Linked DNA regions of Neurospora crassa OR74A. The protein of the gene in region 1 purifies or fractionates together with the protein of each later gene. This does not show direct contact. Links are inferred from orthologs where the notes say so. Each region holds a gene or a part of one and is shown in the gene's direction. Other genes may lie near its edges.

Evidence for each region. Proteins that work in one complex are often made in the same cells at the same time.
Region 2: the proteins of NCU04507 (region 1) and NCU05305 purify together in Saccharomyces cerevisiae (affinity purification with mass spectrometry, with the first as the bait; 3 studies listed by BioGRID). This does not show direct contact. The link is inferred for Neurospora crassa OR74A from reciprocal best matches to the Saccharomyces cerevisiae genes NPA3 and RPB5.

The regions. Positions count from the first base shown.
Region 1 is NC_026504.1:3,140,650-3,147,891, reverse strand, and holds NCU04507 (ATP binding protein), read left to right. Parts: upstream 1-3,019; 5' UTR 3,020-3,266; coding exon 3,267-3,339; intron 3,340-3,414; coding exon 3,415-4,541; 3' UTR 4,542-4,711; downstream 4,712-7,242. Other genes in the region: NCU04506 (hypothetical protein), read right to left, coding at 481-1,749; NCU04508 (hypothetical protein), read right to left, coding at 5,132-5,156, 5,244-5,446; NCU04509 (HIT domain-containing protein), read left to right, coding at 6,407-7,111. UniProt on the Saccharomyces cerevisiae protein: Small GTPase required for proper nuclear import of RNA polymerase II (RNAPII). May act at an RNAP assembly step prior to nuclear import. Promotes sister chromatid separation during anaphase.
Region 2 is NC_026504.1:5,393,874-5,401,178, reverse strand, and holds NCU05305 (DNA-directed RNA polymerase II polypeptide), read left to right. Parts: upstream 1-3,340; 5' UTR 3,341-3,582; coding exon 3,583-3,675; intron 3,676-3,771; coding exon 3,772-3,854; intron 3,855-3,972; coding exon 3,973-4,501; 3' UTR 4,502-5,121; downstream 5,122-7,305. Other genes in the region: NCU05304 (nuclear segregation protein), read right to left, coding at 603-764, 824-1,990, 2,185-2,313; NCU05306 (hypothetical protein), read right to left, coding at 5,442-6,659. UniProt on the Saccharomyces cerevisiae protein: DNA-dependent RNA polymerases catalyze the transcription of DNA into RNA using the four ribonucleoside triphosphates as substrates.

The DNA.
Region 1 (7,242 bases):
TTGCGTTCGGGAGAGAAGAGGAAGAGTAACTTTAGCAAGAGAATGTTTGGCAGTCAAGTATGCAGTTGCATTTGATATTCCACCATAGCACATCACGCACATACTGTGATGAATGGGTGTGACACTAATTTAAGTCTTGCTGCCTGGAAGTGCTGCAGAGGATATTTGGTTAGGCCTACGGGACAATGCTCTCTCAACTTGGCGCCTGCAAAGTGAAGAATTACATTGATCTTATCGAACCTTCAAGTGCCTTGACAATGAACCAGCACGCTAACTCCTCTTTTTCCCGTCCAAGTCTTCATCATCACATAAAGTCAAAAGTCTGTACACATATTATAGCAAAGAAAAAAGCGAATGGGTATTTGAAGAACCAAGTAAAAAAAACAAGATATAGCCACCTGCCTGTCTATCATCCAATGTCAAGCCACATTGGAAAAAAAAAATGAAAAAAAAAAACCTGTTAAATTCGTTCCTGTTCCATCACCTTGTGTATGTGTTCTTATACAGCTGCTGAGCCTGTGGACTGTGTCCATACTGGTTGCCGGGAACTTTCAACGGGTCCACGGGACCGTAATCCGCTGGATTATACGGAGCGTAGTGAGACGGATGCGGGATACGCGGGTCTAATTTCTTCAAAGCCTCCTCCCTGTGCTCCTCGGACGTTTCCTGGTGAGTCTGTAGTCCAAAATTCTTGTCCAAAGCGGGAGACGGGAACCCGCTGCGTAATGATGGGTTCGGGCTTGCTTGTGGCCGGTCGGACGAGTATGACTGACTGGAATTTCGGTTGGAGGATGACAGAGATTGAGGCTGAAGGTTTGATGGGGCGTGGTAGAAGTCGCCTGGCATCTCAATCGGACCATTTGAGACCGGTTCAGGGTTGGTGACAGACAGCTCCTGTGGTCCATTCGGGGTTCCATAGCCGAAAGCAGCTGGTGCCTTTCCGTAGCTGTTAGGACGGTGGTAGGATCCAGGAGTACTTGACCGGTGTTGACTGGGAGTAGCAGATAGCGGTCGCGGGATCTGGTAGGGAATACCGGGAGACTGAGGTGGTGTACCAGAGGCCGATGAGCTGGCAAATGTGGGCGAAAACTGAGGGCCCGGAGAAGCCACCGCCGGTCGTCGGACTGTATTCCTCTTGTCGGCCGGGTTGAACGTCTTCAGCTTTCCGTCCTCGATCATAGCCTGAAGCACGCCAGCATCCAGTAACTCAGCCTTCTTGATGATGCGTCTCACCATTTCCCCACCCGCCTTCTTCATTTGCGACTTGACAAAGCTCATGACAGTGCGACTGCACTTGATCTCAATATCCTCACGGAGATATAACCCATCCGACGGTGCCCCAAGAGCTGATAACCCCATCTCAAGTGGCTCTGGAGGCTCAAAGTTTGGTTGATTACCGGCGATGCGATAGGTGTTGCGAAGGTCAACGTTCATGGGGGCGTATATGTGAGTCTGAAGACCCCACGGCATGTCGTGAAAGCAGCCATTGAACTTGATGGTTGTAGCCCCCATCCTCCCAATTCCAGGCAGAATCGTGACTCGTTCGGTGATCTCATACCATGTCGCATAATACTCGTCTGTTTCTGCATCCTGGGGGGCCGCGATGGGCTTGTGGTCGAGGACAAGAGGGTTAAGAGTAATGACTTCAGAATGAGAATGAAGGATGTCGATGGCCAACTGTCGTGGAATGAAGCCCGGGATGGGCGTGATAACGGTGAAGGCTTCCTTCTTGCGCAACATGGTGGACATTGGATGCTGTGGGTAGATATGTAACACCGATAAATGAAAGTTTATTCACCTCTATAGAGGTGTGGGCAGGGTATAGTAGCCGATCTCCGAAGCCTGGATTTGATGAGTCGCTGGAATTTGGCCCAAGTCGGATGATGAATCTGGCCCTGGTGTGGGACGAGAGACGAAACAAGAGAGGAAGTGGGAGGGAGAGAATTCAAACGGATCTTGGGGGTCAGCTTGGAGTATAATGGATAGAACGTGGTAGAGGTAGGTTGGTAGGGCTGAGTATCATGAGGGGCAGCCTGTGGATGGCCGCTTGGTTCCCGGCCACGCTGCCTCCTGGTAGTGCCGAACAGACGGATCTTGCCATTACGTTTGTGGCTTATTGGACCAACCCAGCTCCCATCACCCACCATTTTGAAGAGAATTTTGACGCAATAAGAGGCCACCGGCTGCGCCCACTCCCCAGCGCGGGACCACCGACCATACGCTTAGCATGGGTTTAGCGGTCATTGGCATTGGTGAATCGCCCCCGCCAGCATCCTGCCTATAGTTCCTGACCTTTTCCGAAGATGACGTGAGACGCCTTTTCTCCCATCGCTTATCCCGGTCTCGTTCAGCAGTATCAAATTGCCACTCGACGACTCCCCGAATTGTCCAAAAAGCATCCGTATCCGGCTTCATTGCTAGGCGTGAAAGGATTAGTTGAAACTGGACAAGTGGACAGACTTCATTGAACAATAGCCTGTGAGGTCGATGAAGCCTTCGGGGCTTGTCTGCCCGCGGCAAGTGCTATGCCATCCAGCCGTTGAGATCCTAAAATATCCAGGCACCCATAATACCGGGGTATAACTTGAAGAGCGGGACCGCCAAGTTACTAGGTCGAGTGTCGACTAGCTACTGCGGCGGTTGAGGGCTGTGGTATTCGCGGATTAACAGCGGCTCGGCTGAAAACAAGAAGCTGTCAAGCAGGCCATATGGGCTTTTGATATAGGCATGATAACAGGGTATAGGTCGCCAACTGATTTAGTTCCAAATTGGTAAAAAGATGATGGATGAGATGCGAGCCGGCCAGATATGGATTGGATGTCGAGGAACATGAAGGCGTAGGTAGTTGGAAGATGAATGGGTGAGAGGATGAAAAGAGACCAATGTCGAGGTTTCAGTCATTTCACTTTGGGGAAAACAAAATGCCAAGCCTTACCTACCCTTCACCCCACCCATGCCTTGATGGATGGAACCTTTCCGCCCGCTACGCCAGGCGATCAATGGACTTTGGTTTTTTTTTGTTTTTTTTTTTCTCTTGCGGTGTTGCCCCTCTGTGGCCCTCGGACATTCACTCCGTCGCAACCACCTATGACCATCCCTACAGCAGTGACCCCGCCGCTTACGACATCCGTGAAACTTTCTTCCCGAGACTCATTACAACACCATCTCTGCGCAAACTGAAATCTGCAACAACTTTGATTTTATCCGACAGATAACACAGAGATCACCAAACGATCTTCCACGCACCCGTGCACAGCTGTCGCACCATGGCTTCGACTTCGGCATCGTCTGCCGCCAAGGCTGACCAGCCTGTTGCCATCGTCTGCGTTGGCATGGCAGGTAGGTCTACGCATGCTCATGTTCTGTGCTTTTCCCAACCGCAAGCGGAATCATCCAGCTGACCATGTTCCCCAGGATCCGGCAAGACAACCTTTATGCAACAGATCAATGCCCATCTCCACGGAAAGAAGGAGCCTCCTTATGTCATCAACCTCGACCCAGCAGTCACCCACTCGCCCTTCGAGAGCAACATTGACATCCGCGACTCGGTCAACTACAAGGAGGTGATGAAGCAGTACAACCTCGGCCCCAACGGCGGCATTCTCACATCGCTGAACCTCTTTGCCACCAAAGTCGACCAGGTTCTCGGCCTGCTCGAGAAGCGCACGGCGCCCAAGCCCGACGACCCGACGCACACGCCCATCAAGCACATTCTCGTCGACACGCCGGGCCAGATCGAGGTGTTCGTCTGGTCCGCGTCGGGCCAGATTCTCCTTGAGTCGCTCGCCTCATCCTTCCCCACCGTCATCGCCTACATCATCGACACCCCCCGGACGAGCTCGACGTCGACCTTCATGAGCAACATGCTGTACGCCTGCAGTATCCTTTACAAGACCAAGCTGCCCATGATTCTGGTCTTCAACAAGTCGGACGTTAAGGACCCGGCTTTTGCAAAGGAGTGGATGACCGACTATGATGCGTTCCAGGCTGCGCTGCAGGAGGACGAGACCAACAACGCGTTTGGCGGAGCGGAGGGCAGCGGCGATGGCATGGGCTCGGGCAGCGGATACATGGGCTCGCTGTTGAACAGCATGAGTCTGATGTTGGAGGAGTTTTACGCACATCTGAACGTGGTGGGCGTCAGTTCGCTGTACGGGACGGGCATTGACGAGTTCTTTGCCGCGGTTCAGGAGAAGGCAGAGGAGTTCAAGCGCGATTACCAGCCTGAGCTCGAGAGGAGGCGCGAAGAAAGGGAGGAGAACAAGAAGAAGGCGCGGGAGAGGGAACTCAACAAAATGATGAAGGGAATGTCGATGGGCGACGCGGCGGGCGACGTCACAGTGGGTGACGTCAATGATAAAGAGGCCCCCGAGCCGTTGAGCACGGACGAGGAGAGCAGCGACGAGGAATATGGTGACGATCCCAACGACGAGTATGACCGCGAGGGATTGCAGGCGAGGTACGCCGCTGCCATGCAGGGCGAGGATGATTCGGTTTTGGCCGACGCAAGTTTTGCAAAGTACCTCCACAGCCAGAGGTGATGAGATTGGCCATTGGTAAGGAAAGGATTTATGGAGCAGTGTTGGCAAGACAAGTGATCGAGAGGGAAGGAGATTTAGCATACAACCGGCGTTTTCAGAGTGATACCATACCAATATTCTATATGGCAAAAAACATGATCAATAATGAGAAGCATCACAGAACGGATCCATCTGATGGTGATAGGTGATGATGACGATGATGAAAAGCAATGCTTTCTTTGTATAAATTCCCACAAGTCTACCGATATTTCCCAGAACGCCGCCATCATGATATTGTGATGAATATGATATCTCCCTTCTTCTGATCACAACAAGCCGTAGGTTCAAGGCTGGGCCATGCTAAGCCACCGCTAATGGTGCAAAATCACACCAAGATATCGACGGTTCGAGTCTCCTACGGTCCCAGCTCCCCTCGACAAATGTTCCCGTTGCCTCCAAGGCTGACTCGGCTCCCGTCCTTGGGCATCAGGACATCCCGGCCGGTCCAAATACGATGAAAACTTCAGCCCGATACGGCATCGAGGAAGAGCGACCCCTTTCTACACCTCCTTTGTTGGCCCCAAGTCGAACAAAGTCGAATAAGAAACCATTTACCGAGCCTCGAACTGAACCATTCTATTACCCCCAGACCGTCGTTAGCATAAGATTTTTCTCTCCCACCTTCTCAGAATCTTCCACCGGGTAAGCCCAAAGAAAACGTACCTCTTGGTGCGCTCCTTATACAAAACACGCGCACCGCACTTCTGGCAACGGATAGGAGCGCCCTTCTCGAGCGGCACGCGGACCGCGCAGTCGCCGCAAGTGTACCACATGACGCTGCTGCCACCGCTGTTGCCGTCGTTGTTAGAGGCACCGGTGGTGAAGCCCTGGGAGTTGGGGACCTGGTATTGCTCGCGGGAAGACATCTTGGTTGTTTGTGTTGTGTTGAGGGTGGTGTGGTATTTGTGGTTTGGGTTTGTTTGTCGTCGGGTTTGCTCGGATAAATTGGATGACGGTTATGCAACGTGTAAGATTGTCTTTGTGTTGAGGCGACGACAAATCGATGTTATGCGATTTATAGCGATATGCGACGATGATGTCGTTCGGTTGATGATGATGATGATGTTGAATATTTACCGGTGGAGTGGTTTGCGACGGACGAGAGGGACGGAGCGCTACCTATACAGGCGACTGAGTTTCAACTGGACGCGAACAACGAAAGGTAAAAAAAGGCGGGACGCTGAGGCAGAAAGTTCCAGACTTTGACAAAGGGTGACAGAAGCAGGCGGCGTTCGGACTTTGCGAATGCAAGTTACCCCTGTCATATCATGATAAATTCTCCACTCTTCTGTGGGTAGCTGTCAGCGCGGCAGGCAATTCCCCCACGTTTTCGGCGGAGTTTGGAGGCCGAGGTTGTTCGCGGCAGCCCTGGCGCCTCACCACTGCACACCACCGGGTCGATGCCCGCCGGCAAGCGGAGGTAAGACAGGGACGGGGAACGGGCCCGGTGCTTCACTTGTGTTTGGCTTTGGGGTCTTTTCAGATGCCGCCCCGGACCTCTCGTCCCGTACTTCACTGAGCTACTATTTAGTCATCAGCTAGAAATCATCATACAAGAGTCATTAGTGGTGTTTCCTTTTCGGATTTGTCACGGAGCAAGGCGTTCTTCTTGATTATTTGTTTGACATTCTGTCGCATTGGTCCTTGGTTACGGGGCGTACTCAGCAAACAATCATTCTCGGCATCATTACATAGCGAGATCAGCTTCACTCCTAGCCCTTGTCGAGATTTCCCTTGAGTATTTCTTCAGTTCAAGTTTAACTCGGGGCTCTTCGACATATACAATCGTTCAAACACATCACTACGTCATACGCCAGACTGCAGCCATGGCCTCTTCAACCGACAAGAAGCCACCAGCAACACCAGTTCCACGCTCCATCGTCCCCGACGCCAACACTTTCGACCCCAGCCTTCCCGCCTCCAAGACAGGCGCCGGCGCCACTAACACCTCATCCTCATCCTCCTCCGATACCCAACCCAACTGTCCCTTCTGCCACATCTCCTCGACCTTCCCCCCCTACCCCCCTACCACCCCCCCTTCTCCCTTCCCCCCCTCCACCTCCACCTCCCCACAACCACAAACCTTCCTCCTCCTCTCCACCCCCCTCCTGATCGCCTTCCTCGACATCATGCCCCTCTCCCCAGGCCATCTCTTACTCTGCCCCCGTCGGCACGCCGCCAAACTCACCGACGTTCTTCCCGATGAAGCCGCCGAATTGGGGCGTTACCTACGGATCCTCTCGGAAGCAGTGACGCGGGCGACGGGAATCAAAGACTGGAACGTGGTCCAGAACAACGGGTCGGCCGCGGCGCAGGTTGTTGAGCATATGCATTTTCATATCATTCCCAGGCCAGGGCTGAGGGAGGCTGAGAGATTTACGAGTACCATGTTTGGGAGGGGGAAAAGGGAGGATTTGGATGAGGACGAGGGGGAGGAGTTGGCGAGGAGGGTGAGAGGGTTTGTCACGGAGGTGGTTAGGGAGGAGGAGGAGGAGGGGGAGAGGGGGCTAAGGGAGAAAGCGAAGCTGTAGGGAGCGGGGTTGGTCGGAACGGATGTCACAGATGTGTGGTCACGGAGCATAGCCAGTCATTAATCTCGAGCGAGCATTTTCTGGTGTCATTATTCATTATTGTTCATCTATGGGGGGAATATCTTGCCAGC
Region 2 (7,305 bases), about 2.3 Mb from region 1:
AGTCCTTTTCACATGTTCCCGCCAGTCTCTTCCACTCCCACACCTGGCCGTGCTTTGTTTCGGGGCCTGCGATACCTCAGTTTGCGTGCTGTCCTTCGTTTTTCGATTCCCTTATGTTCACCAACCACCAGAAACATCACCTCGATACCTTATACGTTAGGGAGCAGGTTCGGACGAGTCCAGCTATTAAAGTCTTTTGCGTGTGAAGGTGAGGTTGAGTTAAGAATGCCACCCCGTATTTTGAATTCCCGAACATTTCCCCCCTTTTCTGTACCCCAAAAAGCATGCTAACAACATTTGATGGAACAGACCAGGGTGGTGATAACTGAAGAGACCAACCACTAAGGCAAAAAAAAGGATGAATATCGGCGATATATATGCGAATGATAATGTGCCGGGATAGATGCGCACAACATCTGACACGGCTGTGACGTCGTTGTGGGCAACGGACGGTAGTGGTAGGGATGAAAAAGAGGGATGACAGGACCCAAATACCCGCTTAACCTGGCAACCTGAACCTCGTCGGAGTCCTGGTCCCCCTCAAATCATGGCTTCCCAAATGTCAGAGAACGAGACGATCCGTGACGTCGATGGCGGCGCTTCTATGCGGAAGCCTCGACAGCCTCAGTCTTCTCTTCAATGGTGGCGTTCTTGACGCCCTCGGTGACCTCCTCGACGGCCTTCTTGGGGGTGGCAGAGCCGGAAGCCTCACCGGCCTCCTCAGCCTCGAGGCGCTCAATCTCCTTCTTGGCCTTCTCAATGTTCTGCAAGCGGCATTGTTAGCAACGGCTAGTTCAACAGGAACGAAACAATATCAACATACCTTGCGAGTCTGCTCAGGCTGGTCAGCCTTCCACTGCTCGAGCTTGGCCTTGATCTTCTCGACGGCAGCAGGGATATCGGTAGCAGCCATGGGGGGCTCGACACCGACGAAGCTGCAGTCCTCAATGACCGAGGGAGGGAGGCTGAAGGTCTTGCCGGTGGCGACAGGGGCAGCACCGGTGGGCTTCTTGGACTTCTTGCCCTTCTTGACGGCAGGGAGGTAGTCGTCATCACGCTCCTCCTTGCGGACGAGCTTCATGCCCTTGAGGCCAGAGTCGTCAACCTTACGAAGAGCCTGGGCACCGAGACCCTTGTCGGCCAGGAGAGGAGCCTTCTCGGCGACCTCGTGGCTGGGGTCGAAGTACTTGAGGAGAGAGTTGGCACGGCGGATCTCCTCGAGGTAGGCGGGGTCAGAAGCCTCGGCAAGCATCTTCTGGGCACGCTCCATGCGGCGCTCCTTGGCGATGCGCTCACGCTCGGCCTGCTGTCTCTCGCGAGCCTTCTCGCGCTGCTCACGCTCCCACTTGGCGAACTCCTTCTTAGCGCCGTAGTACTCATCCTTGAGCTTCTTGATGGCCTGGTACTTTTCAGACTGGAGCTGCTGGAGCTTGGTGCGCTCGTCGCGCAGGCTGGAGAGGTTCTTGTAGGCCTCGTCCTGCTCGGCCTTGATGGCGTCAAGCTCGGCCTGGAGCTTGTTGTACTTTTCGCTGAGGGCCTTGGCCTCGGGGTCCTCCAAGCTGTCCTTGATCTCCTTGATCTTGGCCTTGAGGTCGTCGATCTGCTTCTGGGCATCGTCGAAGCCAGCAAAGCTCTTGCGCTGCTTGCGGAGGTTGGAGATCTCGGCGAGGGCCTTCTTCTCGTCGACGAGCTTCATCATGCCGCCGTTGACCTCCTTCTCCAGGCGCTCAATCTCGCGGTCGAGTTCCTCGGTGGACTTGAAGTTGACCTTGCTGCGGGCAGTCTTTTGCTCGGCAATGCGGCTGCGGAGCTGCTCATCGAGGCGCTTGATCTGGTCGAGCTTGGAGGTGCGGGCATTCTTGCCACCGGCCTGCTGCTGACGGATCTCGTTGAGCTGGGAGATGAGCTCCTGGCGCTTCTTCTGGGTGGGGCTGGGCTGGTCCTTGTTCTTGCTAGGAGCGGCGAGCTCAACCTTGGCCTTGATCTCGTTCTGGATTCAAGGACAATTGGTTAGTCTGGCCTTGTCACATGGCAATTGGAGGCAGCAGCTTCTAGTAGCAAAAGACGTGGTGGTGGTGAGGGTGGCGTGGACGGCAGGGTGCATCGTGAGTGCGAGGGCGGGTGCTCTGACTCCACGGTATCGGGTAGATGCGCTCTTGGTAGCGGCCAGGGCAGGGGACTCACGTATTTCTTCAGGGCCTCCTGATACTCCTTCTCGGCCTTGGCGAGGTTCTCGTTGAAGGCATCCTGATCAGGCTTGTGAGGCTTGGTGGTGGCCGCAGGGGCGGCAGCGGGGGATTGCGACTCGGCCATTGTGTGTGGTGTTGGGGGTTGCTGAAGGAAAAAAAGAAGAAGGAAGAAGAGACGAAAGGAAGGGAATAGTAAGATAAAGACGGGGAAGGGGGACTAGGCAACCGGGGGGCGTGGGTCGGAGCCGGTGGGTAGGTTGGTTGGAGAGCTACTTAGTGTAGAACAGCCGCGGGCGACCTGAGGAAGGATGGGAAGTGGAAGGCAGTGCACGTCCGAGGACCGCTGTTCGGGTCCTGTAGGATAGGATGTACCTCTGGGGTAATCGCTGCTTTGAGATGTGGTTATGTGGATGTGTAGTGGAAGATGGGGTCCAGACTGCCCTGGGGAGAACAATGGCTAGGTAGTGCGGGTGCTGTCAATGCCTGATCTGTTTTGCCCGCATCCAAATTGACAATTGAACGGGAACTAACCTAACTTTGGTCACTTTGAACCCTCAATTCACAGTCCCGTCGCCAGTTCCAAAAAATTCCAAAATTTGTCCCGCTTCAGGCGTGTTCCAGATCTGCAGATCGTGGCCTTTCCCCGACACCGTGTCACGCGTGTCACCGTCTTGGCCTGTGCGCTACTACCTACCCTACCAAGTACATATGGTGCGCTGGTTGGTTGGTTGGTTGGTTGGTTGGTTGGTTGGAGGATGATGATGATAGGTTGAATTGGCTCTTCACTAAGTTCACTTCACTTTGCCCAGCAATGTCCCTCATGGAACATATATGGATCATGGAAGAGGTTTATATAGGTAGTTGGCCGAGGAGAATTAATTTTGTGTACTATCATGTATGTACCGGAAACGCAACTTGAAGTGTATGTCCGCTTTTCCAGTCATGCATAAAACCAGCGCACGCCATCACTGTTCCTCCTAGGTCTTTCACGACTTCAACAAACTGCCTGCCTGAATCAGAAGCCGGTCAACGGTCAACAGCACAGACCATCTGCGCGCTTACTTGTAGTGTCTCACAGGGGTGAAGGCAGCCTCCGGCTCACTGTGGACCCATCCATCTCTTATCGGCCGGCGTGGAATCCTGGAGTGCCCGGGCGTTAGGTCTGATCAATGCGGCCACGCCTCTGGTTTTCGGCGACACCCACCCTTCCCGCAATTTTTTGAGAGCCTTTGTCCTTCAGCCTCGTAAACAGGAAAGTCCTCCAAGCTATCAATCCACCAACACGCCATCCACCATCGCGAACCACCACCTCACCTGCGCAACCTCCACATCACCACCACTCCGCGACGACAAACACTACACTTCAATCGACTGCCCAACACACACAGTCAAAATGGAGGACGACAGCAGCCCCACCAGTGCCTCCAAGGAAGTCTCCCGTCTGTGGAGGGCCTGGAGGACTGTTCACGAGATGGTTCAGGACAGGGTACGCCATCCATCCTTATCACGGCGCTTGCTCGACGCGCCATCGCCCAGAATGATTCGACCTATTCTGACATGTACATGTGCTTCTCGACTATAGGGCTACGAGTTGGCGGAAGACGAAGTCAAGATCTCGCTCGAGCGGTTCAAGGCTGAATACACGAACGAGGATGGAACACCAAAGTGAGTTCCTGCGTCGGCACCCATCACCCCTCCATCACCACCACTTTACGCGTCGCATTTCAAACCTCAAACCACTATCACCTCCCCACCAGACTAACATGACGACACCAAACCACAGCCGCGCCAAGCTCCAATTCTCCGCCCGCCCCTCGGAAGCCATGATCAAAAAGTTCACCGCCCCTCCCACGCCCTCCAACCCCAACCCCGTTCCCGAATGCGGCACCATCTGGGTCGAGTTCTGCACCGAAAAGGGCTCCATCGGCGTGTCCGTCATGAAGAAATTTGTCACCCACTGCTCCGACAACAAGTTCAAAGCCGGCATCTTCATCACCGCCGTCCCGCTTTCTGCCCAGGCCCGCAAGGTCATGTCCGTCACCTCGCAGTACACACAGGTCGAGTGCTTCCTGGAGGAGGACCTGCTGGTCAACATCACGCACCACGAGCTCGTGCCCAAGCACGTGTTGCTGTCCAAGGAGGAGAAGGCCGCGCTCCTCAAGCGGTACCGACTCAAGGAGACGCAGCTGCCGAGAATTCTGAGCAAGGATCCGATTGCGCGGTATCTGGGACTCAAGAGGGGCCAGGTCGTCAAGATCATTCGTGTGTCGGAGACGGCGGGTCGCTATGCTTCTTACAGGCTTTGCGTATAAGGGGGGCAAGCGTGTGTGCGTGAGAGAAGGGGGTGGTTGCGTGCGGTTGGCAAAGCTGGGCTGGCTGGCTGGCTGGCTGGCTGGAGGGCACTACACCAATCCATCCAATCTCTCCCCAGGCTTGATTTGTTCTCTGGACGGTCTTCGACGGGCCAACGCGGGTCTGGCTGGTGGGAATCAGTTGATGACTATATGGACGAGGACTGGATAAGAAGCCTTGGGAAGGGGACGATGACGGCCAGCAGCGAAGCAAGAAAGAAGTGAAAGCACGGCAGCCACCAGCGGGACAGGGAGGAAGGGGTTAGGGGTTCGGTTGTGTAATACAAAACACTTGGGCGTTTTTCTTTTTCTTAACTATTCTAGCATCATGGGGGATACAGGGAAATCAGTTTCTGTTCTTTCGAATTCAAAAGAGGACAAAGAAAGAAAGGCGTTACGGAGTGGCTTTTGTACTAAGTAGCTTGAGATATATACCGACAAGAGAATATCCGAGCTATCATTATGAAATTTTGAGACAAGAGAGATTAGAGCAGTTGGGTACTGTGTTTGCTAATGGGTATATTCACCACGGAGTCTACTATATTAGAGTGCTTATCTGAGCTAGAAGTAGCCCCTGGCTGAATCATCAACATTCAGGTGTTTGGATGCTGACTGAAAGAAAGTTTCGTCAATCCCTTTTGAAATCGGGCATGAGATATCAGAGTTATTGAGCTGTTGATTCGATTGCTCAAGAGTTACTCAGTGACTGGTGACATTGTATTGACCAATACAGAACTATACGCAGCCTCTACCATAAAGTCAAGACACTTATCCTCCAACACTGTAATCCGTTTGTTACATGGCATGTTGACTGTTCAATTATTCATTCATTCCTCTGTTAATACACACCTAAAAGACTCACTCAAGTCCAAATCACGAACCAATCCCAATCCCAATCCCTCTAAGGCCAAACCTCAACCTTCTCCCACTCCCCCTGCACCTCCCCGCCCGCCTCCTTCGCATGATAACTATTTCCCCTCCACAAATACAACCACCGCCTCGCCCTCTTCGCATCCGACAAATCCACCTGATCCACCTCGGTCGGCACAATCACCACCACCCTGAAATTCTTTCTGGCTACCTCATCCTGCAAATCCACCACCTCCTGGCCCAACCCCTCCCCTTTTCCAGGGGGGAACGCCACCGGCTGTCCCGGCGGCGGCCCGCGAAACGTGCCCCTCATGACCGGATTCAAATTTCCAAAATGCGCCGTAACCTCCCTGCTCCAGCTCCATTGCTCCTCATCCTCCTGTGTCTTGCCCTCCAGTCTGCGCATCCGCTGCCGCAACACCTCCCGCACCTTCTTGGCCCCTTCACTGTCCACGTCCGGCCCCAAAAGCCAGGCTGATCCACGGATCCGCCACTGCGTCATCACTTTTTTGTCTTCTCCTGTTTGGGCGTCTTTAGCCTTCTCAATCCAAAATACGGCCTCAACGGGCCCCCCGCCGCCCGTCATCTCCCCGCCCGCTTCGATCCGCTCTTCCGAGGCCGTGTCGACGATCTCGGCGGCTTTTTCCATGCGGGCGTCCGTGGTGAAGGCGATCATGTCGCTTTCGAACACGCCGGGAGGGTTCAGCTCGGCGGGGTTGTGCGGGTTGGCTTCGAGTTGGGCCCAGAGACTGCGGCAGACGCAGGTGCGGGCGCGGGGGAGGACGGGGATGGTGGAGGAGACGGGGGTCGGGGTCGAGGTGGAGGATAAGGAAGGGGGTAAAGGGTGGAGGGTGGAGAGAACGAAGGTGCGAGAGGAGGGAGGGAGGGAGGTTAGGTGGGAGAGAAAGGGGGCGCGCCAGGGGGGTGGGGTGGAGGGGAGTGGTTGGCGGTTGGATTGTTGAGGGGTGGAGGTGGACATTTTGGTGGCGGTTGTTGAGGAGGGGGTTGAGGTGGTTGAAGTAGTGCCGGTGAGGCAGCGGTTGATGGATGGTGGTTTGGTGTAGCGCGGTGGTGATGTTTTGGAGATCTTCTGGTCGAGATTGGTAGCTGTTGCGGGAAGCCTTGGGACTTTGGTCGACAGAGAACGAAAGATGATGGTAGAGAGTCTCTGGGAATGCGGTGATGATTTCTGACAACAGCTGTTGGTAATGTTGAGCTTCAACTTGATGACGGGCAGTCTACTAGCCATTCATCGATGACGTCCGTGATTGGAAACAGGTGGGCGTTGAGCGAGGTTGCTCGGTGGAAGGAAGTCTGCCCCTCGTATGTTGACGTTGCCAGTGATGCTGGTTAATTGGAGGTCGAATGGGTGAACTGAAAGGCAGACGCAATGTTGATTTGAGATGTCCAGAAGAAGGAGCAAGTTATTGGAAGGAATGAAGAGGGTTGATGTAGGGCAACAGCTACAGTAGTGCCTCTATGATGACGGCTGCATGTCTGACCCCACGCTGCGATGACGGAGTCGATCGGGCCCGGGCCTACCCCGCTGTTTACTTGCTCCATTCGTCAACAGCCATCAAGGTGTTTGCTCGTTTGGAACAAACTGAAACCTTCCTATCACTGGTAGTATCCGAATAGGATATTGATTGCAAAAACAGCTTGGAATTATTGCAAGGACCTGGGAGAGAAAGCCAGGGACACAGCATATACTCTGCTCTCCAAGAAGCACGTCAGTCTCCTTCTGCTAAGGAACGGCCCGGTGCTAGTTCTTACTTGCACTCTTGGTGTAGCCACGCTATGGTACCCAATCGGATGAACTGAGCCTCCAACACGTTTCAGGAAAGGTTTCTCGAAGAGGTTGATAGTTTTGAAATTCTTCAGATGTATGCCAAGGA